Lytechinus pictus: one gene and its partners. The protein of the gene in region 3 purifies or fractionates together with the protein of the main gene of each other region. This does not show direct contact. Links are inferred from orthologs where the notes say so. Each region holds a gene or a part of one and is shown on either strand. Other genes may lie near its edges.

Evidence for each region.
Region 1: the proteins of protein smoothened-like (region 3) and ubiquitin carboxyl-terminal hydrolase 8-like purify together in Drosophila melanogaster (affinity purification with western blotting, with the first as the bait; 4 studies listed by BioGRID). This does not show direct contact. The link is inferred for Lytechinus pictus from reciprocal best matches to the Drosophila melanogaster genes smo and Usp8.
Region 2: the proteins of protein smoothened-like (region 3) and cAMP-dependent protein kinase catalytic subunit 1-like purify together in Drosophila melanogaster (affinity purification with western blotting; 4 studies listed by BioGRID). This does not show direct contact. The link is inferred for Lytechinus pictus from reciprocal best matches to the Drosophila melanogaster genes smo and Pka-C1.
Region 4: the proteins of protein smoothened-like (region 3) and beta-arrestin-1-like purify together in Drosophila melanogaster (affinity purification with western blotting, with the first as the bait; 4 studies listed by BioGRID). This does not show direct contact. The link is inferred for Lytechinus pictus from reciprocal best matches to the Drosophila melanogaster genes smo and krz.

The regions. Positions count from the first base shown.
Region 1 is NC_087247.1:24,369,687-24,377,188, reverse strand, and holds the start of ubiquitin carboxyl-terminal hydrolase 8-like, read right to left. Parts: upstream 3,249-7,502; 5' UTR 3,111-3,248; coding exon 3,010-3,110; intron 2,666-3,009; coding exon 2,521-2,665; intron 2,163-2,520; coding exon 2,077-2,162; intron 457-2,076; coding exon 299-456; intron 1-298.
Region 2 is NC_087255.1:30,787,030-30,795,106, forward strand, and holds the start of cAMP-dependent protein kinase catalytic subunit 1-like, read right to left. Parts: upstream 3,053-8,077; 5' UTR 3,034-3,052; intron 2,711-3,033; 5' UTR 2,675-2,710; coding exon 2,626-2,674; intron 1-2,625. UniProt on the Drosophila melanogaster protein: Serine/threonine-protein kinase involved in memory formation. Promotes long-term memory by phosphorylating meng and by regulating CrebB protein stability and activity.
Region 3 is NC_087245.1:40,970,911-40,978,861, forward strand, and holds the start of protein smoothened-like, read right to left. Parts: upstream 3,440-7,951; 5' UTR 3,202-3,439; intron 1-3,201. UniProt on the Drosophila melanogaster protein: Segment polarity protein required for correct patterning of every segment. G protein-coupled receptor which associates with the patched protein (ptc) to transduce the hedgehog (hh) signal through the activation of an inhibitory G-protein.
Region 4 is NC_087260.1:3,960,781-3,968,238, forward strand, and holds the start of beta-arrestin-1-like, read right to left. Parts: upstream 3,532-7,458; coding exon 3,497-3,531; intron 1-3,496.

The DNA of each region.
Region 1 (7,502 bases), on a different chromosome or scaffold from region 3:
GAATCAAGGTTAGGCTTACATAATATGTGCCATTGCCTGAAAATAAAAGGTTACACTTGTGATATCTTTATATTGCCCATCTGAATGGGTTGATTAAAGATTTTAAGATGAACCCTTCTCCAATTGCAGACAAGTTTCTTTAAGTATCTTCACAAATATTTGGTTTTAAAGTAGTTTATTACTCATAGGACTATATTGTTTTAATAGTACCTTTGATGTTTATATTAAACTCACAAAGAGTTTTAAGTGGGCTCTTTTGCTAATTGTAAGGGCTGTATTAATTTCATCTTTATCTTACCAAATTCTCTTTTCTTTTCCTCCTCTGGAACTCCATTCTCCACTGAACCTTCCTCTCCATCTTTGGACTTGCCATCCTTCAAACCATTTGTTTTCACTTTCTCCTTCTCCTCTTCTAGTTTCTTACTTGCTTCCTTTGCTTCCTCTAGCTCATTGTACCTGTGTAATACGATTAAAAATTAGGGAATTTGGAAATGATAACTTATTTATCATAATCATTATCCATCACTGCAGGAGCTCACTGTACATATGATTTGTTTAAGATGAAAATTCAAGGAATTTGAAAATGATTACCTTTTATAATTATTGGTCATTACTGTATGACTCATATTTTTTGCAAATAGATCTTTATCGTCGGAAGGCTTCTGCTGCATATTGGCATGTCTGTGATACATGTTCCCACCAATACGAGCTACCCTTGGTACACCGACAAATCAATGGGGTGCATGATGCATGCAGTGTCCAGATATATATGGGCAGTATAGCTACACTGTACTGTACACCATTGATATAGTAATTAAAATTTGACAAAATTGTGACAAGTGTGCTGCAAGGATATTTTGTATGGTGATAAATTTATGTTTTTGTTTTTTTCAATTTCAAATTTGTGAAAATCCCTCACATAAGAACAGGTTATACATATACAAACTTTCTACTTGCATTGCATAATGAAAATAAAGATATGACAGTGATAGCTCAAGATGCTTTTTGCACACATAATTTGGAGAAAATTTCAGGGAATTAAAAAAATATATAATTCTTACATAATCTATGAGAATTCAGGTATAAGATTGAAAGTTGTATTTTCCTCGAAATACAAAGATGTTATCCTTACAATGAGTAAACTAGCACTAATTGGTTCATACGTGATCTACAATGCAAAGAGTGAACCACAGTGGACCGACATGACACTTCTTCACTGACTCTCATTTTGAATTTCTCCAATATGATTGTTGTACATCTAAAGATAATTATTTGCTCATTTTTCCGTCAATATTATGCTGTTCAGATTATTATGGCGTAAGGGCTGATTCCTTTCCCCTTATACTTCACCCCCTCTCTACCTCTTTATCTATATTCTCTTCTCCCCTTTTCCTATTTCTTCTCTTCTTTCCAACCTATTCCAAACCATTTCCTTTCCATCAGCCCTTGCTTCCTCATTCTTCCCCATTCCAACCATTCTTGTTTCATTTATATATGCCAGACAGTAATATATCATATAATTTAATATATCACACCTGTTACATATACAAAATATAAACTCAAGATTAAGGCCTACCTATGTGAATTTACACTTTATCTGTTCATATATTCATAATTGCATAATTTATATATTTTTGTAATTCCATATGTTAGTACGATGACCTCATTTCAAAATAAGAACAACCTAAGTTAAACCACGGGATAGCACATCCCCTCCTTCCACCTTCTCACCACTTTAAGTATAAATTTTGCTATGAATTGAATTGACGCGTTTGATATGTAAATAATTATTATATCTTGTTTTATGTTTGTTTATGTCTATCTTTACTGTATTCAATTTATGTTGCCCCCTGTATTACGTTCGTTTAGAACTGGTAACCTGGGCCCATTATTGTGATTCCCTTTTTTATGAATAAAAGGTGAGTTATAAAAAAAAATATGCATACAGTAAACATACATATTTTGGGCTAAAACTAGTAAGCTGACATGTAATGTGAAGAACTAGAAATATTTCGTTCCAGAAAGAAAAATACTCCAAACACTCCCAATGATTAAGGAATCACATTGAATTCTCACCTCAAGGTCAATGATGCTGAGAGTTCCTCTGCCTTATCTATAGCCTTTCTGCATCCTGCCTTACCAATGAGAGTATCAATATAATCCTAGAAAAATAAATAAAAGAAACCTTAAAAATGATTTCAGTAGATATTATCCAGTCTTTGAAAAAAATGGTACATACATGTATAGAGTTTGTTAATATTTCAAATGCATATTTTTCTATGCCACATGTTAGTGAATTTTATAATGTAGAATACAAGGAAAGGCATGAGTAGTTGTTGAGATGGTAAATGCTTACTCACTTAATCAATGGTGCTTTGTCAGATTTAATGTCTTATCTCCTTTGCTCAAATATTTTGTTTATTTAAGAGACTCTCACTCCTCTATTAAAAAAACAAACAAAACTACTTGCTACAGAATTGGATACTTTCACCTATAATAACAGAGTCAACTTAAACTTACCTTGTTTGACTTATAATCTTTTGCCTTCTGAACAGCTTTCCATAGTGTGAGGTACTTCATGAACAGAACATAGGCACGTTCCTCATCAAGGTTTTTATCAGCTTTTTCTGCCTCAACGAATACCTTGTTAGCTGATCTGGCCAATCTGGTGTCAGAGTGAAACATAATATACTGCATATTTTTGTAGCAAAACCCAAATGATTCATGAAAATTATACATGTGACATATACTATACTTTTCATATAATAACATTTTCTGCAGTGGCATTTAATGAGACTGTCGTTTGGGTTAAAAAGCATGATTTCTGGGAAGTTGTGAGTTGACAAAGTGAACAAGCCCTAAAAACCCTATTTTCATGAACAATGAGCTTGATCATTGTTTGGGTACATCCATGTTATCTTATTGTAAATATATTTCTCAGGGCTAAAATGCCCAAAGTGATATATGTGAAGATTATCGATTAGCCCCAAATGTGAACTTATTACTCACATTTTTGAAGTTTGTCCCTTGGTTATGTTCTGGTCCACCTTCTTGTTGAGTTCCTCAATGGAGGAGCTGATGTAGAGAGGTTTCTTCAATGCTCCGGGCATGATTACCGGCTGCCTTCCTCAAAGTAACAAGCCTCACAAAAGAATGCAATTTAAGTAATTGGGACTAGCTATCTGGTCATAGAATCTTGAATCAGTCAGACTACATCTTCAAAGTAGCATCTAGACTCTATTAACATCTGTGAATTGAAAAAAGATAGAAACTTTGATATCTTTTTGCATCAGAAAATGGAGAAATACCTTTTAAATCCTGTCATAAAAGACTTCATTTATAATTCAAACATCATGACTGCAGATTCACAAAGATGCTGTTCACTAAATTCAATTTATTGCCAAACTATGATTGTCCATACAGGTAGTTTGCCTTGACAAGACAGCAATTTACAGAAGTTTACAAGCAATACATTGTATTCAATAAATAGTTCGGGAGACTGTCAGAAAATATTTAAAAGCAAAAACCTTTGCAATTATCTGTGCTTTTTATAAGTATATTTTGTAAAATCTCTTGATCTAGGGGATAAATTGTATGTTTTTGTCACAATCATTTATTACTGATTATTTATGGTATGTTCGTTGAGTGGTTACGCTTCCATCTTAGCCTGTGCAATGGAAAACAATTGCGCAGTTGATAGACTGATTGCTCGGCGAGAGAATCAAAACCATGATAGTTCCGCTACACGATCAAGCCGTTGATATTGGAACTGCTTTCCATGATAAAAGCCAGGATGGCGGCGAACTACTCGCTGCAAATATCCCCTCATTTTTTTCAAAAAACAAAATAGGACTAGCATTTTGGGAAAGAAAGTAAAATTTTGATGTAATCGTTTTGTCAAAATATTTTGAATTGTCATGTCGTACTTAGTTTTAAAAGGTAGTAGTAGAATTGGCCGGCGGGAAGGTGATTTTCAAGACATTGTTTACATAAGGCAAAGCCTCTCATAGCATGTGTACATGTATGACTTAATAGAGATGCAACTATATCTCTGCTCCAAAGAGACAGCAGAACTCACGCAGTATATATAGATCTGCATCGAGCCACCATTCCTTAACATTTTTCAATTATGGAAGAACTTTAGCGCATGTGTTTCCCATGCTCACTATGTCATCTGGTGTTTATTCAACAAAATTAACATCTGTAGCTAGTCTAGAATGTACATGTAGCACATGAATAGTAATTTTATTCATTACAGGGATTGTCTCTTTGTAGTCACATTTCCTTAATTTTCTTTCAGAAAATAATGATTTCGTTACTTTGGATGCTTGATTTGGGACTAAGAACCAGTTGGTTTATGTTCTTAAAATCAAGAATGACAGGGGCGAAAAAGCATCTAATCCATAACAGGTGGGGTAAGCCCTGCTGGTAGTATGCACTAGTGAGAGTCCTGCTGGTATGAGGGGGGGGGGGCATTTCTGTGCATCTAAAAATTGAACCTAAGAATAATTATGAATTTCTTTGAAATTTCAGAAAATTTTTAGTTGACATCGTTTCTTATAAAGCCAAAATCTCATAAAAAATTGAGCAAATATGTACTTCCAAATTTACAGATGGGGGGGGGGGGGGGGGGAAATGGTGCCACACATGTCTGCTCACCCATTCACATTAGACATTAATTTAAGAATTTTTATGAGAATGGCTGCATTTTGAGGCCATTAGAATTACACATGCAGGGTAAAGAGCCCAAATATTGGACAGTTCTAAATATCAAACAAAAATGATTTCAATTCCCTCTCTACAGCATGTGATACTATTAGTTACACCCTGCTTGTTCCCGTATTTCGTAAGAACAAGCAGGCCATAGCAGGGTGTAACAGTTTTATCTCTTTAAGGGTATCCTTATATTATTGCAGAATAAGGTACAATAGTACTAAAAAAACCCTGCATTTTGAGAGTGATATGAAAGGAAGTCATTTATGACATCACAATGATCACAGTAAAGAGAATGGGTATTTTGCAATTGAAATTGATGCGCAAATAGTAGTGCGTAGCGCAATGCTTGAATACACACATAATACGGTCTCATACTACGTGGTTGAAATCATCACTGGGTATGCGCATAACAAAATTAAAACAACAACAGCTAAACACGGGTGATATGGGCTCATATTACCTTTTTGATCTTTGTGACCAACAATAATAACAAACAAATCGACCAATCAGATTACAGAATTCATGAGAAAAATAGTCCACTAAGAGATAAATGAACATGTCTTCTATTGCACTGCACACACAGTAGACCCAGGTTGCTGCCCACAAAAATTATTCCAGGGGGTCATACATAGGCCTATAATCAAGGAGTGCAACTGTTTTTCGAACTGTAATTGTCTAAGAACTTTCTAAAAGATGCATCAATTTCTTTGAAATTAAATATGTTCATTAGTTATTACCAATACTAAAGTTAATTAACCCACTACAAATGTAATGAAAAGTACTAATTAAATATAAATACTAATTACCCATATTGATGAAAAACATTGGGTAACGCATGATTTTTCATTAAAGGACAAGTCCACCCCAACAAAAAGTTGATTGGAATAAAATGAAAAAATTTCATCAAAATCAGATGTAAAATACTGGTAAGAAATTTATTATATTCTAAAGTTTCGCTTAATTTCACAAAACAGTTATACATGTATGCATATCTTGATCGGTATGCGAATGAGGAGACTGATGACGTCATCCACTCACTATTTCTTTTGTAATTTATTATCTGAAATATGAAATATTCTTATTTTCTACTCATTGTCAAGTGAAACAACAATTAATTCCTCCCTGAACATGTGACATCCAACTCATAGGAGTGGTCTTTAATTTCAGACCTTAAAAATAACTTTTCAATCATTTTTAAAGGTCAAGTCCACCCCAGAAAAAGGTTGATTTGAATAAATAGAGAAAAATCAAACTAGCATGTAACACTGAAAATTTCATCAAAATCGGATGTAAAACAAGTCAGTTATGACATTTGAAAGCTTCGCTTATTATTCACAAAACAGTGATATATGCACAACTCGGTGAGATGCAAATGAGACAGATGATGATGTCCCTCCCTCACTATTTCTCATGTTCATTATGGTTTGAATTATACAATATTTCATTTTTCACAGATTTGATAATACAGATCAACTTGAATGAACCATATTAAACAATGCTAAACATTCCAATGATGCTTTTAACTACTTTGTAACCTTGAGTTAAAATGAGATGGAGCTATCATAATAGTGATTTGACCAAGTGACACTTGAAACTTTCAACCCTTGGTGTAGGGTTATCCCCCATCATTCCTTCATATTGAAGATGATCTACTCTTCATTTTGATTACAATGAGTACATTTTAATTGAAGATATAAATTTTGAAAAGTAGACAATTTCCTCAGGCTAAAAAGAAATAGATCGGACATTTTTCACCATTTATCAATGGTCATTCAAAAATATCAAAAAGTAAAAAAAAAATGTTCCTATACCCCTACATGTATCTTTATAAAATTGCACTGGTCAATGAATTTTTGTACATCAAGGGCTCTCACTTAACTTTGGTTGCTGGCTGGGCAACCTATAATACACTGTACACTACTAGTATATTATAGGTTGCCCGGCTGGCAACTATTAAAGGGGAAAAAAGGCCAAGTGGCCTATTACCCTGCAAAAACAAATAATAAAATTTGAAACTTGATAATTTATTTATTTATAATCAAGTTTTAAATTTTATTATTCGTTAAATAATAATTTCTATCTATAAATTGTTCTTCAAAACGGCATTTTGTAACATCGCTTATCGAAGGTTATGTCATAACGATGCGGTTCAAGGGTCAAGCCTATTGTATTTGCATTGTTTACAAATGGATTGAGGGATCTACATGTACACAAGATCGGTCTGGAAAGAAACCTCTAATTTACTATTAAAACTAACACACTTTTTACACCTTCATACGCAGTAGGCATATGAAGGTTCATAGATAAATAAAATAGACACTAACCGATTTCACCCTCTAAATATGGATTTCCTAGGGAAATCCATCCGGGTGTATAGGTGTCGCTTATGCATGTATGGAAATGGTTTCAAGGCTTCGAGATGAAGAAGTACCGGTATGTCAAAATGTCAACTATGTCAAAATATTAAAAAATATCATCACAAAGTCCTCAAGTCTAGTCGAATGCCAGGGCCCAGGCCCAGGCCACCCATGGGTTCATATCATCTCGCGTGCGAAGGAATATCAGTTATATGCACGCGACACACACGACCCATCCAAAATATACTGGGCTTTTGCCCACATAAAATATCACGCATAATCTGGTATTTCACATTCTGCTATGACACTTACCGAATCATTTAGATCCTTCCGTGACTTCTCCTTGAAGTTTCTTTAAAAAAATATGTATATTTTCTTGATCTTTAGTGAAGATTTCACGGAGATAAAAATTGGTCAGCGTGGATATCA
Region 2 (8,077 bases), on a different chromosome or scaffold from region 3:
TAAGTCCAAATATGATTAGGGGAAGAGGGAATTCACTCCAAAGAAAAACAATGGGTATGTAATTTAGAACAGTAACAGATCGCTGCTAATAGCGTATCGAATATGCTCATGTGCATTGATTGAAACAATCAATACACTTTCACAAATTTATTCTGCATTTTGTTCATCATGATCATGGCGGGAATGGTAAATGAACACTGCACTATAATAATTGTGTTACAACTATACACCACCAGTGTTTTCAGACCACCACATCAAACATTAACACCAGCGTTAAATTCACGGTGTTCGTTCAACACTCAATAATAATAATAATCCGTTTTTTAATATAGCGCTTAATACATCGGAACAACGTGTCTAAGCGCTTTACAGAAAATTATTATTACCCCGGTCATCGGATTCAATCAGTCATTCCCGCACACAATGTGTGCACATCCTCCACTCCCTGGGTAGTATTCCAGTCAGTCGCCGGTGAGGCGCACACAGTACTGGACAAGCTACAATGACTTTCACATCCTACCGGGTACCCATTTAGCACCTGGGTCGAGAGTGGCAAAGTGTGGATTAACGCCTTGCCAAAGAACGCCAGACCGCGGTGGGATTCGAACACACGACCATCTGTTTACAAGGCGAGAGTCAGAACCACTACACCACGGCTCCTCCACATATACCACACTGTGTATGTTATTTTGATTTGTTGGTGTTATATTAAAATCCCATGGTGTATTTTAACGCCCGAAGGTGTGGTCATCCTTGAACACCCCTTATTATTGTTCTTGACACCTCAGTTGCACGTCAAAATGGGACATATTTTGCTTGGAAAGTTAAACAATGATTCGATGAATCCCATGCAAGCAAAATTGAAGCATGTATGCATAATACCATTGATTCGGTTGATCTAAATGTAAAGGGAATCTATATTCTGTCACACTGCGAAACGTATTCCAAATCAACCAATAACTGAAAAAATATACAACTCATTTCGATATCATTTCCATTCACTTGTATTGTGTGTGTCCGGAGTTATACAAGCTCTTATACATTATTCCTATTTCAACCGGAAAGCAGGCACCGTTTGGAAACCCGAACACCGGATGACAAAAATAGCAAAAACAAGTAAAGACAATATAACTTTCTCTGGCTTCACTATTTAGTTATCGGGAGGTTAAACAAGATTACTCGTTACCATGGCATGCAGGATTTACCGCGGTTTAAAGAATCCGGGATTAAAAAGTATATTTAAAGGGACAAGTCGGTGTCCTTCGATATAGTTCCTCGAAACCCACCAGCATGACCAGCACATTTTGCTGGGTGTGCTACGATATGAACCAATTAAAGGTACACAACATATTGCTTCGGAAGTCAGAGTGCGTTTACATGCGGGAGGTAAAATAAAAAAAGGGGGCTTCTAACTCCAAATACATTTTAAAGGTGAATTGTGTACTTAGGAGGCTGCGATGAATGCAAGGAATGCTCCCCAGGGAGTGGAAATTGTGCACTTTTCGTGCGGAATTGAAATGAATCCAATGACCGGGGTAATAATATGCTGTAACGCACTTTGAGCCATTCTGGGAAAAGCGCTTTCTAAAAATTGGATATTATTATTATTATTATTAAAATCATGTAAAGCTACAAGTCAGTGAGCTTCGGAATAAACAAGAAATACTAACCTTTTTATATTATGTACAGAACAAAAAGAGAGCGTTTCAGTTCGACGAATGTACTAATATTTGATAAAATTTTGTTCAGAACGTGGTTTCCAAGTTGAATAGGCCGAAAACAAACCATGAGGTGTAATTGGTGTCAACAATAAATATTATGTCGTATATATTGAAAGTGAGATCAAGTCACATATTTACTATTACGATGTATATTTGATATCCGTTTATAACCATTTTGTGTTACAAACCCATTTAAATGCAGATAATAATCATGGTCACGAATTACCCCTATTCGTTTTTTTAATCATGAAAGTGTTGCCAACCATAATCAAGGCATAATAATAATTATAAAAGATGAGATAGAAGCGTTTTATTGTGAGTAAAACGTTGTGAGTACCGAATGGAATAACGTTAAATATTTATATTGTAGGTGGTGATACTAGTATACGTTAAACGTACTAGTACAAGTTTACACTTAAAACAAAATAAAAACAAGTTTTATTTCATTTTTAAAAATAGCAATGTTTGCCATCTGGTGTCCAATAAATTATGCAAACTCGAAGTGCATTGAACTATTACTTCGTATCTAGTTCATTATGTTTAAAACACGAATAGATGGGTCATTCTGAATAGAAAATGGATCAATGATCGATGTTCTCCACAATGTTGAACAATAATTCCCCACAATATACATCATTACTCATGGGTACACAAAAATAGTGATGGCTAAAATCATTTCTAAATCGGGACATACTGACCAATACCACACACCCACAAACACACCGCGTTTGTTATCAAGGCATCTAATAAATAGGCTATACACTCGATCATCAAACAACGTTTATCTCTCTTCTGAAATTCATCATGGACTTTGTTTCCAGAAACAATCGTAAACATATACTAATCGAATTAATAAACCTTTGCACGGACGTCGAGTTTAAAGGGGAAGTAGATTTCGACTTACTTTGCTTGTCCCATTGGGCGACGTGTGGCGAGCCCTTGCCCTTGGACATGTCGCCCGACTGGTCTCTGCTAAATCGAAGACGAATCTGAAGAGATAAAGACAAATAGAATTGAGCTATCCAAATTATGTATCACTTAATTGGAGATGGGGAAGAGAGAGCACGTCCAAAATGATTAGGTGCCCAGTAGGGGACCAAACTTGAGTTATCGTCTGCAGATATAGTCTCCGTATTAATCCAAGGTTAGTTGATGTCAGACGAGTAATAATCCAGATATTAAAACCTAGAGGCCGATGATGAGGTGCTTGAATACCTAAGGATGGTATCAAACTGGGACCAAGAAGCGGTTATCAGCTGAGAGATGCTTTTTAAAGATATAGAATAATGAATATAAGTAGCTGCGAAGCAACCTGCGGATCGTCGAATCTTCCCTCGCCCGAGCCGCCCCAACCGAGCACTCTCGTGTGCTCGCTCTATTGTCCTCTCCGCGGTTGCACGGTCCAAAGAACTCGAATAAAAGCAATACACTCGTACAAACCTTACTTAAATAATATCAACAATACCTCAAAGGGTCTTTCCTTTACTAAACACAGACGGTATCATGGAGAAAGTGAAAGGAAAGGTAAAAGAATAGAATTATACGAACCATTGTGTATCTGCATGTGAATGCAGTGTTACTGGTAATAATTCCATTCACGGACTTCTTTCGCGGAATGAGCGCAAGACGATGCGAACCTGCTTGTCTCTCACAAAAATTGATCAGCTCACAGACTCGGTACGTATAATATTCGCGCGGGTCTGAAAAAGGAGAGAAAATAATGTTCCAGAGAAGTATATCCGAATGGGTATAAACACAATTGAAATCGCAGGCTTTTTCTTCTTCTTTAGATTTATTTTCTCACAGTTGAATGCAAAGATGCCGAACAACTGAAAAAGGTCAGCAATATTTTTGTTAAGGTTTCTGTTTGCCACGAACCGGCCACGAAGCAAACTCTCCTTTTCGTGTCTTTTCCCCTTTATATATTTTTGTTTATCAAATTTTGAGAACAAAATGCCCCCCATCTAAAACAAAATCCTGGATAATAACTTTCATTGGATTAACACTCTTTAACAAACTACAATTAGTAAACATGATTAGATGAAATCGTGAGCTTGATATGATTTTGTTAATAAGTATTATTTACTGCTTTAGTTGTATTCAACAAGATTTTTATTTCTGAGTAGAATGACAATGACGAGGTATACCACCAATCTGTTATTCTCCAAATATAGTCATTTTTAGTATAAATTGGGTATTGTTTGTGGGGTTTATAGATTCGGGTGGGGAACCAGGATGAGGAAGGGGGCGCGTGGGGACATGTCCATGTTAATAGTTAACACAACTTTAGTATTAACGCAATATAGGCCTAGACATTAAATTATACTTCCACTGCTTGAAAGAAACATTCAATATTGTTCCATGATACGCACTCTAAATTGCAGGGATTTAAAATTAATCTAGATGGACTGCATTTATAGGGATCAATCGAATTGTGGATTTAGTTTAAATCTTAAAAAACACTTGAGGGATATATCTAATACTTTGAGATTTAAAAAATGAATCTGTAGGATTCAAACTAAATCCAGAATTCGATCGGTCCCTTATTACGGTCCGTCTGGATTTATTTTTAATTTCTGCAAATTAGAGTTACGGGGTTCGAATCCCTGCTCTAATCATGACTCAGTTGGTAGAGCAAAATTGTCGTAGACCTTGCAGCTCCACGCCTTTCCCAATAAAAAACTTTAGACGATATATGGGGGGATAAATTATCGACAGCAAACTGGAATAAAATTTAACTTAACTTGCCATTTATAGGCGTGAAAGACCAGTAAATCTATTTGACTTGAATCTATATAAATAGCTCGACTCTGAACCTGATGTTTTATTGTTAAATAAACAAAGGTAAATATACGTGTAACCCGTGTCATCAGTTCACGTGAGAAGGCTGTATGACGGTGTCAAGTGTCACGTGATCAAGTCTGTCATTTGCATTGGGGTGACCACCCTTTGGTTTTTTTTATTGAAGAGAAAAGGAAAGGATAATTTTATTATTGGAAAGAAAAAAAAAGAATTCTGGAGGAAAATAGATTATAGGTTTTCATGATAATGCTATACTACTACTGACAATGATCTTTTTATTATCATTATTAAAATGCAAGCAAATTAACCTGGACCATGTCCCCATCCCTTCCATAGAAGGTGGCACCGCCCCTGATCAAGAAAAGCTCAGTCACTTTATCACTGCAAATGAATTAGGTTTTTAATTGAAAAGATATGGGAAGACTGGATTTACATGAATGAAAAAGAAAGGATAATACCACAAAGTGATGAATTCTGAGTCCGAATTGAATTGATTCCATAATAATCGATACAAGGACGTTACGTGATTATTTGGTAATTTTAGAATTGTTAATTGACAAATAGATTGGACAAGTGACCATGTTAAAGAACTATTAACGACAAATTATTTGTTCTTTATTGCAACAATGACAAATGGATTATTCACATAGTTAAATGGAAGTACATTTTAGATTCAAATACTTGAAAGAAAGTCCATGATAGAATACATGAATATCAGAACGAGTACAATATGAGGGTGAAGAATGGAAAAGATCGATGGAGAAAAAAAGAAGGAACAAGAAATAAGCAAAAAAGGGAAGAGAGGAAATGAAAACGAAAAAGAGAATGCAAAAAGGTATATATAGAATAGTGAATATCTGATGATGAGCTATTCTAAGTTGACAAAATTACACAAATTGACTTAAACTGGGAAGTGGAATCACTGATGTGGTGGATTATTAGTCAGCCCCTTGTCACTTTAACTCTCCAAAATCGGTTAAATTTACACTGTCAAACTTTGTGTGGTTTCGAAACGTTTCCAAGGCGACATAAAAAAGGAGTAAAAAATGGAGCATTATAGGGTGGCAATGTTTTCACGTTCAATTAATAATTGTTTACAAACTTCTAGTTACCATAGCAATATATGAATTTATTTATGGAAGGCTGTTTATTCATCCTTGACTATACTGAGATCATTCCTGTGTTAAAAAAAAGAACGTTGAAGAACGTATTACAAATATCGTTTCCTTGAAAAATTAGAGAAAGCATATATACTAGGCCTGAAAAACAACAACAACCGAATTTTTGTGCAATTGCTGCATGGTCGAAATTAGTCTAATGCTACAACCTACTACCATTTTCTGAACCAAGAATATCCAAACTGTAAATTGTTCGAAGCAAAATTGTACGCATTCATGCATATGAACAACAAAACTGTATTATACATGAATATATAATTTAATTTATTTGAAGGTTATTGACTGTGTGTAGAAAAAACTCGTTTCATATTGGTTGAATTAGATAGTGAAAGAATAAGGAAAATAAAAACATGCAAAAATAATAAGTAACATATCGTTGAAATGATCATCAAAGAATGAATTTCATTCTTATGAACTAAAAAAAAAATAATGTGAACGATTATGGGAAATTTATTTCTTTTTATATTTCAAATTCCATTGATAAAGTTCAAGCAATAATTACAATATCAGGGGCCGCGGAAGCGGGGGGGGGGGGGGGGGCTTCAGCCCCCCACTTTTTTCCAAAACCATGTACAAAAACGTAAAAATGACCATATGATTGTGATTTTTTGCATGGTCAGCCGCCCCCCCCCCCAATTTGAAAACCGTTCCGCGGCCCCTGAATGTAAAATGATAAAACTGTCTTGAGATAGGATTTATATAGAGACCACCCAGTTCTATTTGACAAAAGGGTCAAACATCAGCCGAAGTCTTATCTCTAAAGGAAGAAAGTGAAGAGAAAGTCTAGCACAACGATGATTCATGGGATATTGTTTCAGTGAATTAATGATAAAAATGGATGATTGTTGCATGATACTACGCTAAAAGACTTCTGATGAAGGTAAGTCGTGTAGAAAAAAACCCCAATGGTTTAGTGTTAGGAGTTGTCGACATGGTAGAAGTAAGTGTAAAAGTTATAGGCCTAGTTATCGACATTAGTAATTTATAGTTACGAAAAATATATTTCCAGTCTGAACATGGTGGATGGGACTTACGGCTGAGAGGGGGGGGGGGTAGGGGTGGTGTTTTAGATAATTATTAGAATATAGTGGGCACATAATTGTTGCTGGATGTCGGGTGCATGGGGTATATATTCCACCAATGACTTTACAACTTTACCTACCATATGCCTACCCGTTGTTTATAAACTATTCCCTTTCTATTCATTCGTTTTATTTGTGTATGCGTGTGTGGGGGTGTGTGTGTGTGTGGGGTCAATATTTGTTTCTTTGATTTTAGGGAATTTCCTTTTCAATTTTTCCCTTTCCGGGGGGAGGGGTCCCTTTAATCACATTGATCTAAGGTAAACCATCGAAATCTAACACATTTTCCATCTTAAGTACTCAACAAAACTTAATGAAGTATATTAATCTCAATGAAATTCATTCAAAAACAAAAGTTTGGCGGGGGTTGTTGCTCGACCTAATTCAAGTGTTCGATCTCATTCAAGATCTGTATCTATTGAGAAATACGTGTAAAAGTGCAGGTTTAGCTAACTTCACCTTGTAATGGTAGAATACTTAAACACACGACCCGTTGATTATTGTCATGCCGGATAATGACAAATGACATACACACCTGTTCTGTAACGCCAATGGCACATTGAATTGACAGCTCTCGGTGACGCCATTCCCCACAATGTCAAAGCTGAAAGTCACCACCTTACTTATTTCATTTTCCTCCATACAGGCCCTAAAGAAGATTTTTTTCAAGTAGTTTGATCTATCTATGTACCCATATCTATCTATCTATCTATCTCCCCCTCTCTCTATATCTATCTATCTATCTTTCTTTCTATCTACCCATCCACCCACCCATCCATCCATCCATCCATCCACCCACCCATCCATACCTCCATCTATCCAACCATCCATCCATCCAACCATCATCCATCCATCCATCCATCCATCCATCCATCCATCCAACCATCCACCCACTCTTTCATCCATCCATCTCTGCCTATCCGTCCGCCAACCCACCTATCTATCTATCTATCTATCTATATATGTAGTATGTATGTATCTATCTATCTATCAATATCGATTATTTTCACCCGATTTCTGAGAAAGCATGAATGACTATAAGGAAGCAACCAGAAGCCTGTCCACAACTAACTATATAATCACACGGAATTTGGGAGTCAATCAGTCCACGTCACCGATGACGTTATTGGATGTGTCGTGATCTATAATTTATGGTAAAATTGTTTTGATGAAAATGCCCATTGTCTCTCAAGATCTCATTGATCTTGTGCAATTTCGCTCCCCTAAATTTCATTCGGTGTCTCCGAAGGGATATCCAAGTTCTGAATTTTGGCACTTGGTGTAGGCAATGCGT
Region 3 (7,951 bases):
TACCTAGATCTGGGAAAGATACTGTTCTTCACTGAGGTTGATGGATCTGATCTGACAACCTGCCTTGGTTTTGATCTGCTGAGAAGCAATGTTGTCTTTCTTTAAGTACAGGGTAGGAAATAATTCTTATTTCTAAATTCTAGGGGCTATTTTTCTTTTCCACATTGGGGCAATTGCAAATGTATTTCGTTCATTTGAAAGGCTGCTTCTTATGGGTAAAAAGTAATTGTGCAGTAAAAGGAAATATTATTCTTCTACCAGTAAGAATATTTATTTTCAAAATAATATGCAATATTGTTTGGAACAGACCTTGGGGCGGCTCTAAAAAGAATGGTCGCCTCAAAACGTGCATTTTGGGGGGAATTTTAGGGGCGATTTCGGCTGTCATGAGGGCAAAATCACCCGTCACCCTCATGTATTTCATATTCTGTTTTAGTAAGGATGTCAGGCTTTGTCTAATACATGATAAAATTCCTTAATGGACCTCTCCCCTACATGTACATGTATATTGCTGAAGGAGAAGTGCTTTTCTAAATTCAGTGGGGGTTTTCCGACCTAACTTCTTTTGCAAAATTTGGTTAGAAATTACAAAATTACAGTTCAACCTCGTCTTTATACCATGCATGTTTCCATAAAATATTGTAGGCCTATATATATATATATATATATATATATATATATATATATATATATCATGCATGTATATATATATCATATATATATATATATATTATATATATGCCAGAATTCCAGTTTAATTTAGTAAAATATGAACCATAATTTTCCATAAAAAATCATCTTTTACCAAGAAACTGGACGTTTTTATGAACATCTGATACAATACAAGTAACCAACAGTGCAATTAGGCTTTACTCTTGTCATCCTTTACAAGCTTGTTGGAGCTCCATTCTTTAAAATTGATCTTGAAATTAATTTATCAAAAGGAAAATAACTCCCTACAGAGAATATGGATGGATGCAATTATGAAAATACCAGTACATATATGGTCAAGAAAGTACATACATGTATTTCACACTCACAAGTCAAACTTTTAATTGTACTAAATAATGGCAAGCAACAATTTGTTTACATATATGTTTGATTTCTTATTTCAGCTTCAACCTTGTTGTTATGTTATTAAAGCGGAAAACAAAAGATAACACAGATGTGGTAAGAGAGAGAGAGAGAGAATCAGAGAAGAGGTGATCAATAAATTCATGTAGTTTTCAAATTCAAGATTTCATTTAAAGAATGGTCTATTGAATGGGAAACGAAGACATTTTTTTATGGCTGCCATTAAAGGGATGGTCCAGTCTGAAGATATTAACCCTATATATCTCAATAAATAGAGTAAAATTCACAGAGCAAAATGCTGAAAATTTGATCAAAATCGGATATAAAAACAAATAACAAAGTTAAAGAATTTTAAAGATTTGCATTATTCTGGTGCAACAGTTCTAGGCATGTCTTCATGAATATTCATTAGGTGGGCTGATGATGTCATATCCCAACTTGTTCTTTTGTATTTTATTATATGAAATTAGGTTTATTCAAAATTTTACAACCAAGAACTAAAACAATTGGATTGACAATATTAGTTATTTATTGCCGCAACTTATTTCATCATAATGGAGACACATTATTTACACATGTATGAAAAATGAAACAATTTCATGTAATAACATAAGAAAAAGGAAAGTGGGGATGTGACATCATCAGCCCACCAAATGAATATTCAGGACAATGTGCATATAACTGTTTCCACAAAATAGTAATAAACTTTAAAATTCAATAACTTCGTTATTTGTTCATCCGATTTTGATGACATTTTCAGCATATTGCTCTGTGATTTTTAATAGATTTTACATATTTTCAGCCCGGACCATCCCTTTAAACTTAATAAACAACACAAATTAACACAGACACAATGATAACCTTACAAATTAGTAATGAAACTTCTAATTTATAATAGGCCTGAATGTAGACCAAAAGCTTTGGTCTCTGTTATGTTGGTTGTTCAGCTGAACTCCGTTGGCTTCACTCACCAAATACAGAAACCGAAGTTCTAGCGCGATCGGTACAGGGGACTCAATGGCCATATGTTTATGTGTATTAAGTTCGGATAAAACAGGGCAGTGAAGTTGTGCGACAGCCGAGGTAAGTCACTGTTTTTGTTCCTTTTAACTTGATTTTCCCCGTTTTTTGGCAATTAATGCCAAGAGGGAATATTAATTTGCATTTCGGTCGCGTTAATTTTCAAATGTTTGATTCATTAAAGACAAAAATTGAAGAGCCCCGACGGGGGGATTTTGAATTGCAAGTCCCCTAATGGTGGCTGCACGATAGCGAGCCGTCTGTGTATGAGGAGAAATTAAGAAAATATAAAAAATGTTAAAAAACTCCTCGATACAGACGGCTGCCAGCTGTCTAGCCTGAATGAAGCTTTCCCTAGTTTTAATAATCTATGCATAGATTTTTAAGTTGGAACTTTGAGTAAACAAATGTCACAAATACTGTTTTTTCTTTGTGGTCAAGACTATTTCTTAAAAAGTTGAATGGAATAAAAAATCAAATATTCCATATTTTGTTCAATAGAAAACAATGCGTGACTGACATTTAATTCTGACGAAGTTAGCAGGGTGATAATTTATTCTTGAATTCAGATTCAGAAATGAGGAACTTCATGTAGAACATTTGATTTATATAAAACTGATCAAATTCGAAGGCTTCAAAGTTCAAGTATTAAACATGCAAATTAATGTCTTAACTTTAACTTAAAAGAATATTAATTCAGTTGACATTGGTCTGTAAAAGGAAAAACAGTAAGAACTCAATCTACAGAGGGTATTTGCTAAGTCGGTTTTTCCAAAGTCAGGATTTTTACCAAATTGAATCCCTGTGGCTGTGCAGCAACTCATTCTCTTCAAACAAACAGCTCAGCTCCACAACAGCAAACCAACGTTAATGGGCCTCACACACACACATACACATTTCGGATTTGCGTGTAGTTTCAATGCAGACAGATATATGGAAAAGGTGCCTACCAAAAATATAGTACCGTACCGTACTCCAATGCAATACGGATTGCATCTCACACATCTTACTCTCTCACATTCAAAGATGTATCGGAGTAATTCTTGTAAACTTTAATAACTCAGGTTTATCTGTAACTGGCCAAAATTAGAGTAATCTATCACTTACCTATCCAACATCAGTCAATCATGATGCCTGAAAATACAAAATAAACGTCTTTCCCGGAATGGGACCATGATAAACACTCGCAGAGATTCTCGTGTTTTAATTTCGGAGGCGAAAGTTCGTGTACAGTGCATGTGTACGTGTGTAGCTTTCATATGTGGAACTTTGAGTGAAGAGTTTCAAGGTTTTCTTTCGAGTCGACTAGTCTGCTGGTGTACTGGTACGGTCTCCGCTGGAGTGTAACGACATATGGCGATGAGGGCCAATTTTTTTTAAAATAAAGAATGTATTATAGTAAATATTCACTTCCCCATAATGTATTGAGCTGATGAGGGGCAGAACATGGATTATAATATGCATATGGGATAAAATGTGCCAGACAGCGCGAAGCGAGCGATCGAGCAGACAGTTTCACCTCAAGATAATTTTATCTTTTTTTTCTATGGACATGATGGAACTTTTAAATGGGGCCCATGATCGAATCAGTTCAAATTGAGCAAAGCACTTTACTAGTATAACTGATATAATGAAATGAATTTTTGTTTAATGAATACTTAATTCAGATCCTCAAAAGTATTTCAGTTAAAAATTAAACGCATAATGAATATTTGAATAGTTCTTAAGGCAAGTCTTTCTGGAATGTTTGGATATATGATCATATATATATGTATATATATGATCATATATACATATATATATATATATATATATATATATATATATATATATGATCATAATTATATATGTATATATATATATATATAAGAATATATATATATATATATGATCATATACATAGGCGGATCCAGCTTTTGGCGAAAGGGGGGGGGGGCGCACTGCCGAGCGGCGCACATATTTTTGCACTTCACCGGCGCCAAAAGAAAATGTTGAAAAAGGGGTAAAATCTGACCCTATCAAATGCTCTTTTCAAAATGTAGGATTTCCAGTCATACCATTTTGCATGACCACACGCAGATAATATTTCCGGGGGGGCAAGACTCGAAAATTTGGTGCACATCTCACATTTGCACATTTTTTATAGTTTTCATGAAATGTTAAGGGAAAAAAAATTGTTTTTCACAACAGCAGATCGCGAATGTGCCCCCCTTCCCCCTTGCTGCGTACGACCATTCCCTGAAGTCCACTTAAACATATTTCATTATAACAGAAAATATACATCAATTTAAACATATAATCTAAAACATATATAGAGAGAGATTGAAAAACTTATTGAAGAAAGAAACAAGCAAAAAGTAACACAAATTATGCATGTTATGTGCGATTTCAAAATCTCGTGTATTAACCCTTTTATTGCAATGAGGCCAATACTTTTGTATATTAATAGAGATACAAGTTTTTTTTAAATATATGTATATATATATATATACACAGGGGCGTCGATCCTTTTTTTAAGATTTGGGGGGCAAAATCATGAATCAACTTTCCAAAGGCGCTCGATATCACACAAAACAAACAAACTCACACACACACACACACACACATAAATATATATATATATTTATATGACTCATGAGATAGAAACACATATCTCACCAACAAATTAATGCGAGCGCGAAGCGCGAGCTGAATTTTTTTTAATATACTGACCTGAAAACAGGAAAAAGGTGCCTGTTTAGGACTGTTTGTAGTAACCCATGAGGAGGATACATATCTCACTACACAGATAATGCGAGTGCCGAGGGCGAGCTGAAATTTCTTTATATTCTGACCAGAAAGCTTGATATTCTATGCATATTTGGTACCAATGATTAAGATGGGTATCTAAAAAAAAACAATAGATGCGAGCGCGAAGCGCGAGCATAAAATTTTGATATTTCGATCTGAAAAAAATGACAGTTTAATGGACGTTTGTAATAAAGAACAAGATTATATCCAGCAAAAGATTATTGCAAATCGAAGCGGGAGTTCTTTTGACGTTTAGAACTGAAAACGGGACATTCTATTCACCTATTTAATCATAAAAAGTATGGGGTTTTGCTACAGAAATGATGCGAGCGCGAAGCGCGAGCTGAAAATTTTTATATTCCAATCTGAGAAGCGGATAATTTAAGCACGATTTTAAATAAAGAACCAGTTGTGTAGCTCAATCTCAATATACGACTGGTTGCGTAATTATACACTCCCGGTACTAGCAACGGGTTTTAGCAAAGTTTTGGGCTAAAATATCGAATCATCTTCATAAAACACTTTAGTAGCTGTCTTAAACTAAAGGCCATAGAGGTGGCACAATGTGGAATGTGTAAAGAAGAAAAGTGACTGACCTTCTTTTTATTAAAGCATTGGAAAATAAGATCAAAATTAAAGGATTTGCTCTACGCTTTTGTATGATTCTGGGATTTTTTAAAAATAAATTAAAGATTTCATGACATCTGTCATTCTGTGGGCAACTGCCCCGCCCCAGTCCACTCTGTAAGGGCATGTGATAAAATTTGTTATGACCATTCAACAATAAAATGTATAACCAGGTGCCGCTGATCATTCTTGACCGGCGCCGATCTAGATTTGGTTGGCAATAGGCCCTTCTTCATTATTTTACCGGCGCCTATTTATTGGAACCAGCTAGGGGACGCTGATTATTCTTGACCGGCGCCGATTTAGAACAAGTAGTGCTGATTATTTTACCGACGTCACGTAAGATTCAGGCAGCGGCAATTCATAATTGACTGTCACCGATTTAGAACCAGGAGGCGCCGATTATCTTGACTGGCGCCGATTTTTAACCAGGTGGTGCTGATTATTCTTGTCCGGCGCCGATTTAGATTTAGGTGGAACTGATTATTCTTGATCGGCGCTGGTTAAGACTCAGGCAGCGCCGATTTATAACCAGATGGCGCTGATTATTCTTGACCAGCCCCGATTTAGATATAGGTGGCGCTGATTATCCTTGATCGGCGCCGGTTAAGAACTCAGGCAGCGTCGATTTTTCTTTACCGGCGCCGATTTATAACCAGATGGCGCCGATTATTTTTATCTGGTGCCGATTTAGATTTAGGTGGCGCAGATTATCCTTGATCGGCGCCGGTTAAGACTCTGGCAGTGCCGATTTTTCTCGACTGGCGCCGATTTATAACCAAATGGCGCTGATTATTCTTGTCTGGCGCCGATTTAGATTAAGGTGGCGCTGATTATTCTTGATTGGCGCCAGTTATATGCAGGCAGCGCACTGCTGATTATTTTTAACAGGCGAAGTTGTTGGGAAAAGGGTAGTTAAAAAAAAGATAAGGAAGATGATATGATTGTGCTTCGCTGGGGGATAGTCTTTCCTTACTGTTGCTAATATTATATCAGTGTATAATTTTTTTAAGCGGCGCCTTTTCTTTTCTTTCCTTTATTTTTTATTTTTTCAAGCAGCGCCTTTTCTTTCTTTTACTTTTTTTTTGAGCGGCGCCTTCGGCGCCGCTCAAATATTAGGGGGGACGCGCGCCCCCTGCGCCACCCCCCTGGATCCGCCACTGATATATATATATATATCCCTCCAATCAGTAAAACGAACATGTTACAAAACACAAGTAATTGGATATGATTGAAAAGACCTAAGTCGATATAACTGACGATTATTATCTGTGAGCGCTTCCTGTTCCTGCAGTATACGCTGAAAATCTGGTAAGATATCCGTATATGATAATGATCATAAGGGTGATGACCATTTTATCAATCAATTTCGGGGGCAGGCAGCAGGCAGAACCAGAATGGCACACACTAAAAAGTGTAAACGAATTGTTTAAAATTCAAACAGCAAGTAAAATTCATCTGAACATTGTTAAAATTTCCAAATAACAACTCTAGTTAAGAAAACCAGGAGGCATGAGATGTACACCTGCATTTCTTGGGATGAAAAGGTCATCATGAATAGTAATAATAATATGCGTTTATAGCGCCATCTACTCTTCAGAGGCGCACAGGAAAAAACAAAATCCCACAAGGACCTTTTTACATTGATGTTAAACGACTTAAAGATTTTTTTAAAAATAGAGCCGAATTATCAGTGATGTTACGCCGATGATATCGCAATTCGATTTACTAGCTCCAACTTAGAACTGTTTTATTATAAATGAATTAAATTCATTGATTTATTTCAATACAAATGAGAATAACATAAATACAAAATCAATACAAATAAAAACGCGCTTACATGCACTGGCCTGCAACTGGTTCGCCAATTTAAGCTGCAAGAAGCCCTCCATGAAATTGAGATTTGTTGGTGGAGATGGAAATTAAATATTTCCCATGCACACCAAGCCTGTAGTTTCAGTTATTACTAATAAACAAAAGATAAAATAAACGGAGATATTTTGCCTCATGATTGCGAGCAGTTTACGTATCTTGTAATCCCAATCTGGGTCCCGTAAAACAAAGGTTAGCGATAACTCGTACTCCGGATTTTTACGATTGATTGTACATTGAAGTCAAAGGAATCAATCGTAGAAAGATGTTCTACGATCATTGCTAAGCTCTGTGTTACGGGCCCCATGCAGGTCTGTCCATATAGTGCGAATGATGAATGTAAGAAAATGATGAATTTATTACGTTGCGTTTTGGGCACTTCATTGGGGAATAAGTAATGTAATTTTGATATAAAAGACTTATTTTTTCTATGTTAGACTATGGAAGTGCAAATGTATGATTTTGCCCGTAGGCCTATCTCTTAAGAAAAAAACTTGGAAAATCATTATACAGGCACAATATACAATAAGTCATTATAGAGTCTCTACAAGTTAATTACCGCTGTATC
Region 4 (7,458 bases), on a different chromosome or scaffold from region 3:
TAAAATGGAAGCCAATTTTCTTATGCAAAGGGAGATTGCGCGCCAATGATACTTTCATATTATTCCGGTCAAGAGCGAGATTAGAGTATTTTATTTGAAAACCAGCTGACGCGATTTGGCTATTCAAAACGTTGCGTTCAAGGGCTTTCCTTTATATTTCAAGGTTAAAACCCACAAGTTCTGAATTGGTGACGGTCAATAATAAGGAATGAATTATTTGGCATCTAATTTTGAGGGGAAAAAACCAGAAGCCTAGCAACGGACCAGTGTGTATTTCTGCTGAGTTATCAAGATGGGGGAAGGCGTTTGAGGATAAGGATGACAAGCACGAAAAAAAAATCAGCACATAATGAACAAACACCCTCGAAATAAGCAGAAAATTCAATGTATTCGCTACTTAGTTGTATGGAGACCTTCGTAGTAAGAGGAAGCTATCTGTATTAGGGTTTCAGGGAGATACACAATTTTGTAACTTTCATACATGTAGTATATTAGCAAGTATTCTTCTTCATCTTGTATGGTTACTCCCGTATAGTAACTTGACAGAACAGTTTTTGTGCTGGTATAACGCCAAGCTGGTATAGAACCAATAACATAGGAATCAATTTACTTCTATTAGGCATAGCGGCTCACCTTACAGACTGAAATTACTCTCGGATTTTTTTCTTTTCTTCTTCTTCTTCTTTTTCTTCTTCTTTACTGTCTCTCTCCTTCTAGATAATCTGCCTACTTCACTACTGGAATTCTTGCTAATGTCAGGACACGCGTGTCGAAGTGTGTATTTGTGGGTGTGTGTGCGCGAGTGCGGTGTTTCCGTGTGAGTGGTAATCGGATGTTTGGATGTGCAGGTGAAACATTTCCATCGCGCAAGTACAAACAACCAAAAAAAAAGATCAAAATTATACTGTACAAAAGAAAAGGAAAGAGTAAATCCCCTTCATCTCTTTCCTATTCTGCATGCATGCTAATGGCTTCAACCCAACGACAGTCACCTCGATAATATTCACAAATGATTTTTGTTAGAACAGGAAATTGACAGGAAATCAACGGCATCAAATTTACCAGTTGTCCTCTCAAACGTCATTTCGAGTGCATTCAAGTGTAGGTAACGCCTCTTCACTCATATTAGCTTGCACTCGTCATGTTTTCCCCTTCATTTTGAATTTATTTTTAGATAGTCAAGAAACAGAATTCAAGTCAATGCTTTCTCTAAACCCATGTTCTTGTCTATATCCCCGTGTATACTCACAGTATCTTTAATAATGAACAAAATAATCAAAGAAAAGCCGAAGAAGTGAATTTACCTGTTCATTTAATTTTTTTTGAAGGATAAATGGAAAGTAGTGAAAGTGAAATTTTCTTCAGCTATTCTTAGATTAATTTATTCATTATTTCCTATCCTTGACGGAGAACACATTACCGTTAAATATATCTACTGTATATGTCTACCTATCTAACTCCAATCTTTCTACTTGTCTATTAATTATATCAATGAATATATATACATATATATATATATATATACATGTGTAAAGTTATACATGTACAACAGCATTGGCAACTCTTTTTATTTAAATATTGTAAAGAAATGGATGAAGAGAACAATGGTAGGCGTAGCTTAAATCATGGACCTATGAAGAGATGGACATTCATCGCTTAGATAATGAATTCACTAACAGGTGACGGTAATTGTCATCTGAATAACATTCTCTTCATACTAGTCTTCTTTGGTCCTATGATCGTCACCGTGAGAAGGGACTGAATTAGTTCGTGATTGGACATTTATATTTCACAAATTATATGCGCAGTTGATAGAAAATCAATGAAATAATGGATAATCGATGTGCAGTTTTTGTTTACCTTTGTTAATCTTAGTTCCATGTGTTTTATTTGGGGAAATGTCTGCATATTTTAATATAGAGGCAATATCGTGATTGTTTACCATTTAAAATTCAATTTTCCCAAGTTTCTCCATAATATTCCAGATATACGTGGCACATAACATGTGTAGATCGTGTATCTTTCAATGTTATTGAGGTCCTTATGTGTGAGCGGTAGTTAGCGGATCGAATAATATCATATTTTATATCATAAAAATCGTCTGCTTCTCAAGTTTGCTGATCCATATATGAAGCATATTGACTGAAAGGCACATACTGAAACAGGGGATCAGCCAACAAAAATCAAGACCGGGAAACTGTTCCGTCTTTGAGTGATCAGATACCCTTGGTAGTCATGGTAATTGCTATTGTTATAACACCTGTATGTTCTCATTAAGATGCGCATAACCAGGTGACGGTGACTATCATTGGGTCAAAGAAATGCTCGCGTTAATCGTCCATCTTTTCATAGGTCCATGCTTAAATCAAGGTTCCCCAGAGCTCTCTACCCTTTGGAAAAATTGGTGATGCCGAAAAAATGTCCCTGCCGGGAATCGAACCCGGGCCCCCAGCTTTGAACGCCGGTGCCTTAACCACTAGACCACAGAGACGGGTTAGTGGCTAGGGCGACCCCAATCCGATTGACCGTCAGCTAGACATATTTTCGACACTATACCAATTATAATTTCCTTTGTCGGGTGAAGGTGGGTTTTTAACAATGACAAACCGCCATGCCTCAGCTGGATCAAAGCTATTGCTTTGATACAGTACACGTATGGGAGAATGTATACAAATGTGTAAAGTTATACATGTACAACAGTATTGGCAACTCTTTTTATTTAAATATTGTAAAGAAATGGATGAAGAGAACAATGGTAGGCGTAGCTTAAATCAAGGTTCCCCAGAGCTCTCTTTCCTTATATATATATATATATATATATATATATATATATGTATGTATCCATTAAGATCCATTTGAAAAATAATTTTTGAAAAGCACTCGGTCATTTTATGATGAAACACCAAGCTTCTAAACACATCAAAGGTAATAGGTTTCTAAAGATGAAAAAATGAATTTAAAAAATGGGGGAAAATATATTAGTTGGGAGATCTAATCTATTATGAATCAATTTAAAACATGTTCCTTTTACCACGATTTGGATGTTGCAAGTGAATAATGGGTTTATTTGCATGAATATAAAGTTAAAAGGGGCCAGTATATATCCCTGAGGTACATCCATTATCAAAGGCAATAGAATATGAGATAAGAATCCTTTGACACGCAGTGTTAATCATCGTGTTCATTTAGATTGGTCCGACTATAACATGCTTGCCAACATGGAAATCTGCAAAAGCGGTAGACACAGCAAGGGTCTGGGTGGGGATGGGGGATTCCCCCCTTACTGGATCAGGGATTTTTTTACATCCACGGTTATCCTTTATAAAATGTTCAGAAACAAATCGGAATCTGATTTTCAGTTCTATTCTGTTAATTCATTTCCACTTTGAATATAGCTGATTAGTCATTGTTTCTTTAATGGTTAGATTTACTTCTCGAATACAAAAAAAATAAATAAATAAATCAAAATAAAAATAAATTAACTTGATTTGCCTACCTTGTTCCACTTTTGCCTTTAGACCCTGCTGACATGTTGCTCTTAATTCTGGCGGATTCGGAGATAAAATGAAGAGTGGTCTCAGGTATTGCCAAGATGAATCTGTATCAGGCTCGTTCGGAGTTTCCTGTTACAAAGGGCGTAAATGTCAACACAATGAACAAGGTTAATAGAGATGTAAGATGTGAACAAATAGGTCTGGGGTGGTAATATATCGCATGGATTTGATGGAATGATCGAGGAAGATAAAAATATCTTCAACGGATAGGGATGAACAAAAGATATGAAAACGAAAGCGAGCGAAAAGGTTGGGGGAGGGAAAGAGAAAATTAGAGGAGAGAAAAGAGGGAGCAAGGGAGAGAGGGAGGGAGAGAGTGGGGTTCGAGGGGGAAAGTGAAAAAGAGAGTGACAGAAAGAGAATGTATGATGGTGTGTATGCGTGTGTGGGTGTGTATGTTAGTGAGAGAGAGAGTGGGAGATATTGAATAAATGTGTGTTTGTGTGAGAGTGGAGAGAAAGAGAGGGGTAGAGAAAGTGGTAAGGGTGGTGTGTGTTTGTGTGTGGGTGTGTGTGAGAGAGAGAGGGGGAGAGATGGAGGGAGGGGGAGAGAGAGGGAGAATATAATTTGTGCGTGTGTGTGTGTGTATGAGAGAGAGGGGGGAGAGGGAGGGGAGAGAGGGAGAATATAATTTGTGTGTGTGTGTGTATGAGAGAGAGAGGGAGGGAGAGAGAGAGAGAGAGAGAGATGTGTGATGGAGAAAATATATTTTCAAGAACAAAATTAATAAGCAAAGGGGATTCTGCATCGTTATTTGATTAATAAAAACCCGTCGCTCTACCCATCAAGTGTTGCCATGTCAACCGAAAGAGTCTGTCTCTATTAATATATAGAGTATAGCACTATGTTTACATGCAACCAGCACTTAATGACCGAGAAAAATACAGTGAACATTATGAAATCCTCTTGAAGAGCTTCTTCATTGATATTTATGAAATAGTGTTTTTTATGTGCATGATCTTTGATATAATCATGTACATGTACTCGCGAGACATATCATGTTTTTTTTTTTTTTTTTTTTTTTTGGGGGGGGGGCGACATGTTAGTTTTTGATTGGTAACGAATGTGATGTTGATGAATGAGGGAATAAATGATAAGAATGACGATAATGATGATGATAATTATGATGATGATAATAATGCCGGTTATGATACGATGGTGATGACGATGGGGATACTACTACCGCTAACACAACTAACGCCACTACCACCTAGGCCTACTTCTACTCTTACTACTACTACTAAAACTTCTACTAGGCCTACTACCACTACTCTACTACTACTACTACTACTACTACTACTACTACTACTACTACTACTACCACCACTACAACTACTTCTACCACTTCTTCTTCTACTACTCTACTGCTGCTGCTACTACTACTACTACTACTACTATTACTATTACTACTACTACTACCACTACTGCTTTCACTGTTATTAGGCCTACTACTATATACATGTACTTGAACTTTTTCAAAAATAACGCTTGAATTATTGTGGATGTTGCTACGTCTGCACATGCTGCAGAAATTAACCACTAGACCACACGCACTAGAAGATACATTCACGACTTAAATATTCAACCCACATCTTGAGCCCCCTCTTGTCCCTGCTAATCAGCCTTCTACCCCACTGGTAGGCGGGAGGGGGGGGGGGGCAAAATATTTTTTGAAAGGGAGGCAAGGCGACCTGTAAAGGTGACGCCAATCTAATCATAAATGTATTGCAGGGTTACACGGTCCAGGCTTCTCTTTTTTGTCCCTTTCTTTCTCATTTCTGCCCCTTTTTCTATATATTTCACCACTTGAAAATTCACAGGGGCAACCTCCCCACCCCTGTCGCGTCGCCCCCTGTTCTTATAGGCTATTAATACAAATTTCTTGAAGGCGAGTGGCAAAGATGAGGGATCGCATAGCAAGAACAAACAAACCTATTGACTCAAGCATCTATGGTGATTGCACGCGCCAAACCGAGTGGCTGCCTCGAGGAGAAGAAAATACCCGGGTTGACGGATGCTACTCTATTGACACCATAATATCAGCCACCTTGGAATATCTAAATGGCGATGATGAATGGTTTGTTGACATGACTGTGGAGCGCCATTTATAATCCATTCCAAGGTATTCGTTATTAGGCGCTGTAGACCTCCCACCCCCATCCATTAGTTGATCTTGGTTTAAGAGACGACTGACGAAGCTTTAAGTACGCCATCGGTGAATAATTATAGCAATAAATATCATGAATTTATATTGCGTAATTTGTATATGGATATACTCAACCGCGCAATACAATACATAGCAGCAATGGTGTATCAATGGGGGCTTGGGGATCGTGCCCCCCCCCCAAAAAAAAAAGGGGGAAAAAAGAAGGAAATTACGACCAAGAAAAATAGTTTAAAAAAGAAGAAAAAATACAATATTGTAAAATATGATATCGTTTTTACGGTCAAAATTTATAACAAAAATAAATATGTGTATCGAAAAGGACAAAATCTTTGCTCGGGCGCAACTTTATTGTTTGTTCCCCAAACGCCATGTCTGGGAAACGTCAAATTATTTCTTTCTTGCTCCACTGCATAGTCGATAAATATTAGAAACATCCTCACAGAAGCGCGGAAGCATACTACCTCGAAAAAAAAACCCATTACAACAGAATTGCCTTATTTATTGAAAACTCTCTTTACAAATTAAATAGTTGCCAGTTTGATAAAACAAGAAAAACTATTATGTTCAGAACTACAGACCAAAGACAACAGACAGATGCGATTGTCGATTTTAGTGACCGCTAATGAATCTTTAAGTCGGGTCAAAACAGCCAGGAATCAGACCACTTTTCTTATTCACTCCTATAAGTTTTCATACACGCGAACTGCTGACCCACAAAGGTTCGATTCAATGATTATTTCAAGAGATGGTTAAGGATTCATCATAAGTAAACAACAAGGATTATCAATATTTCATAATTTAATCTAAGGTTTTGATTTATGTAAATGCAAGACGGCCTCCAAAATATAATAAAAATGTATAAACAAAAATAAATAGTTTATTTATTTATTTATTCATGCATGTTTACAATGTACAATGTAAAAGAATACACAGATAATATATAAATATATATATATATGAAACACAAGTAAATAATGAACATACAAAGGTGTTGCAACATAAGCTAATAGCTTGATTGGTTGAAGCACCTTTAAACTGGTTTTGTACCAAGAAAACAAAAATAAAAATGTAAGAATAAGGAAGAGAGGAAAGAAAGAAAAGAACGTAAAAGTGATAGACTGCCGAGATATAACAATTAAGTTTCAAATTGTTATGAATATATGGTATAGTAATTCAACAGAGTTAAATTCTTAATCTTCAGTTACGAAGAAAAGAAAGAAAACAAAACTGCTTATATGTATACGTTACTAGCACTTTACAGATTCTGTAATTTTGAAAGGAGATTGTGCTTTACAGCCAATTTAAAAGAATGTGAGGTTTTCAAATTTCGAATATTATGTGGAAGAGAATTCCAAACATCTGAAAATTGACGGACGGTGTAAGCAATTAATGAAGAAGTTTTAAGTTAGTGATACGGGTTTGAACGGCTTTGAAAATTTATTTAAAGATAAATATCAATGTGCGCTACAAACCAAAACCAAAAGTCAGATTCAGTGTATGATTCAAATGACTGTTCCGAAAATCTAAGTAGGGCATAATGAAATAGGTTCCAGTACATTCATTAATAGTGTAGACCACAACAAAAGTCAAATTCAGTAAATGGTTTTAGTGATTTAAGGAGACTTTGAGTTTCTAGAAGAAATGAATCGAACAGCAAAATTCACCAAAAGGCATTCAATTACTCAACGTACCGATCAAAAATACAAATAACACGGTTGGTGTAAGAGACGTCTCAGG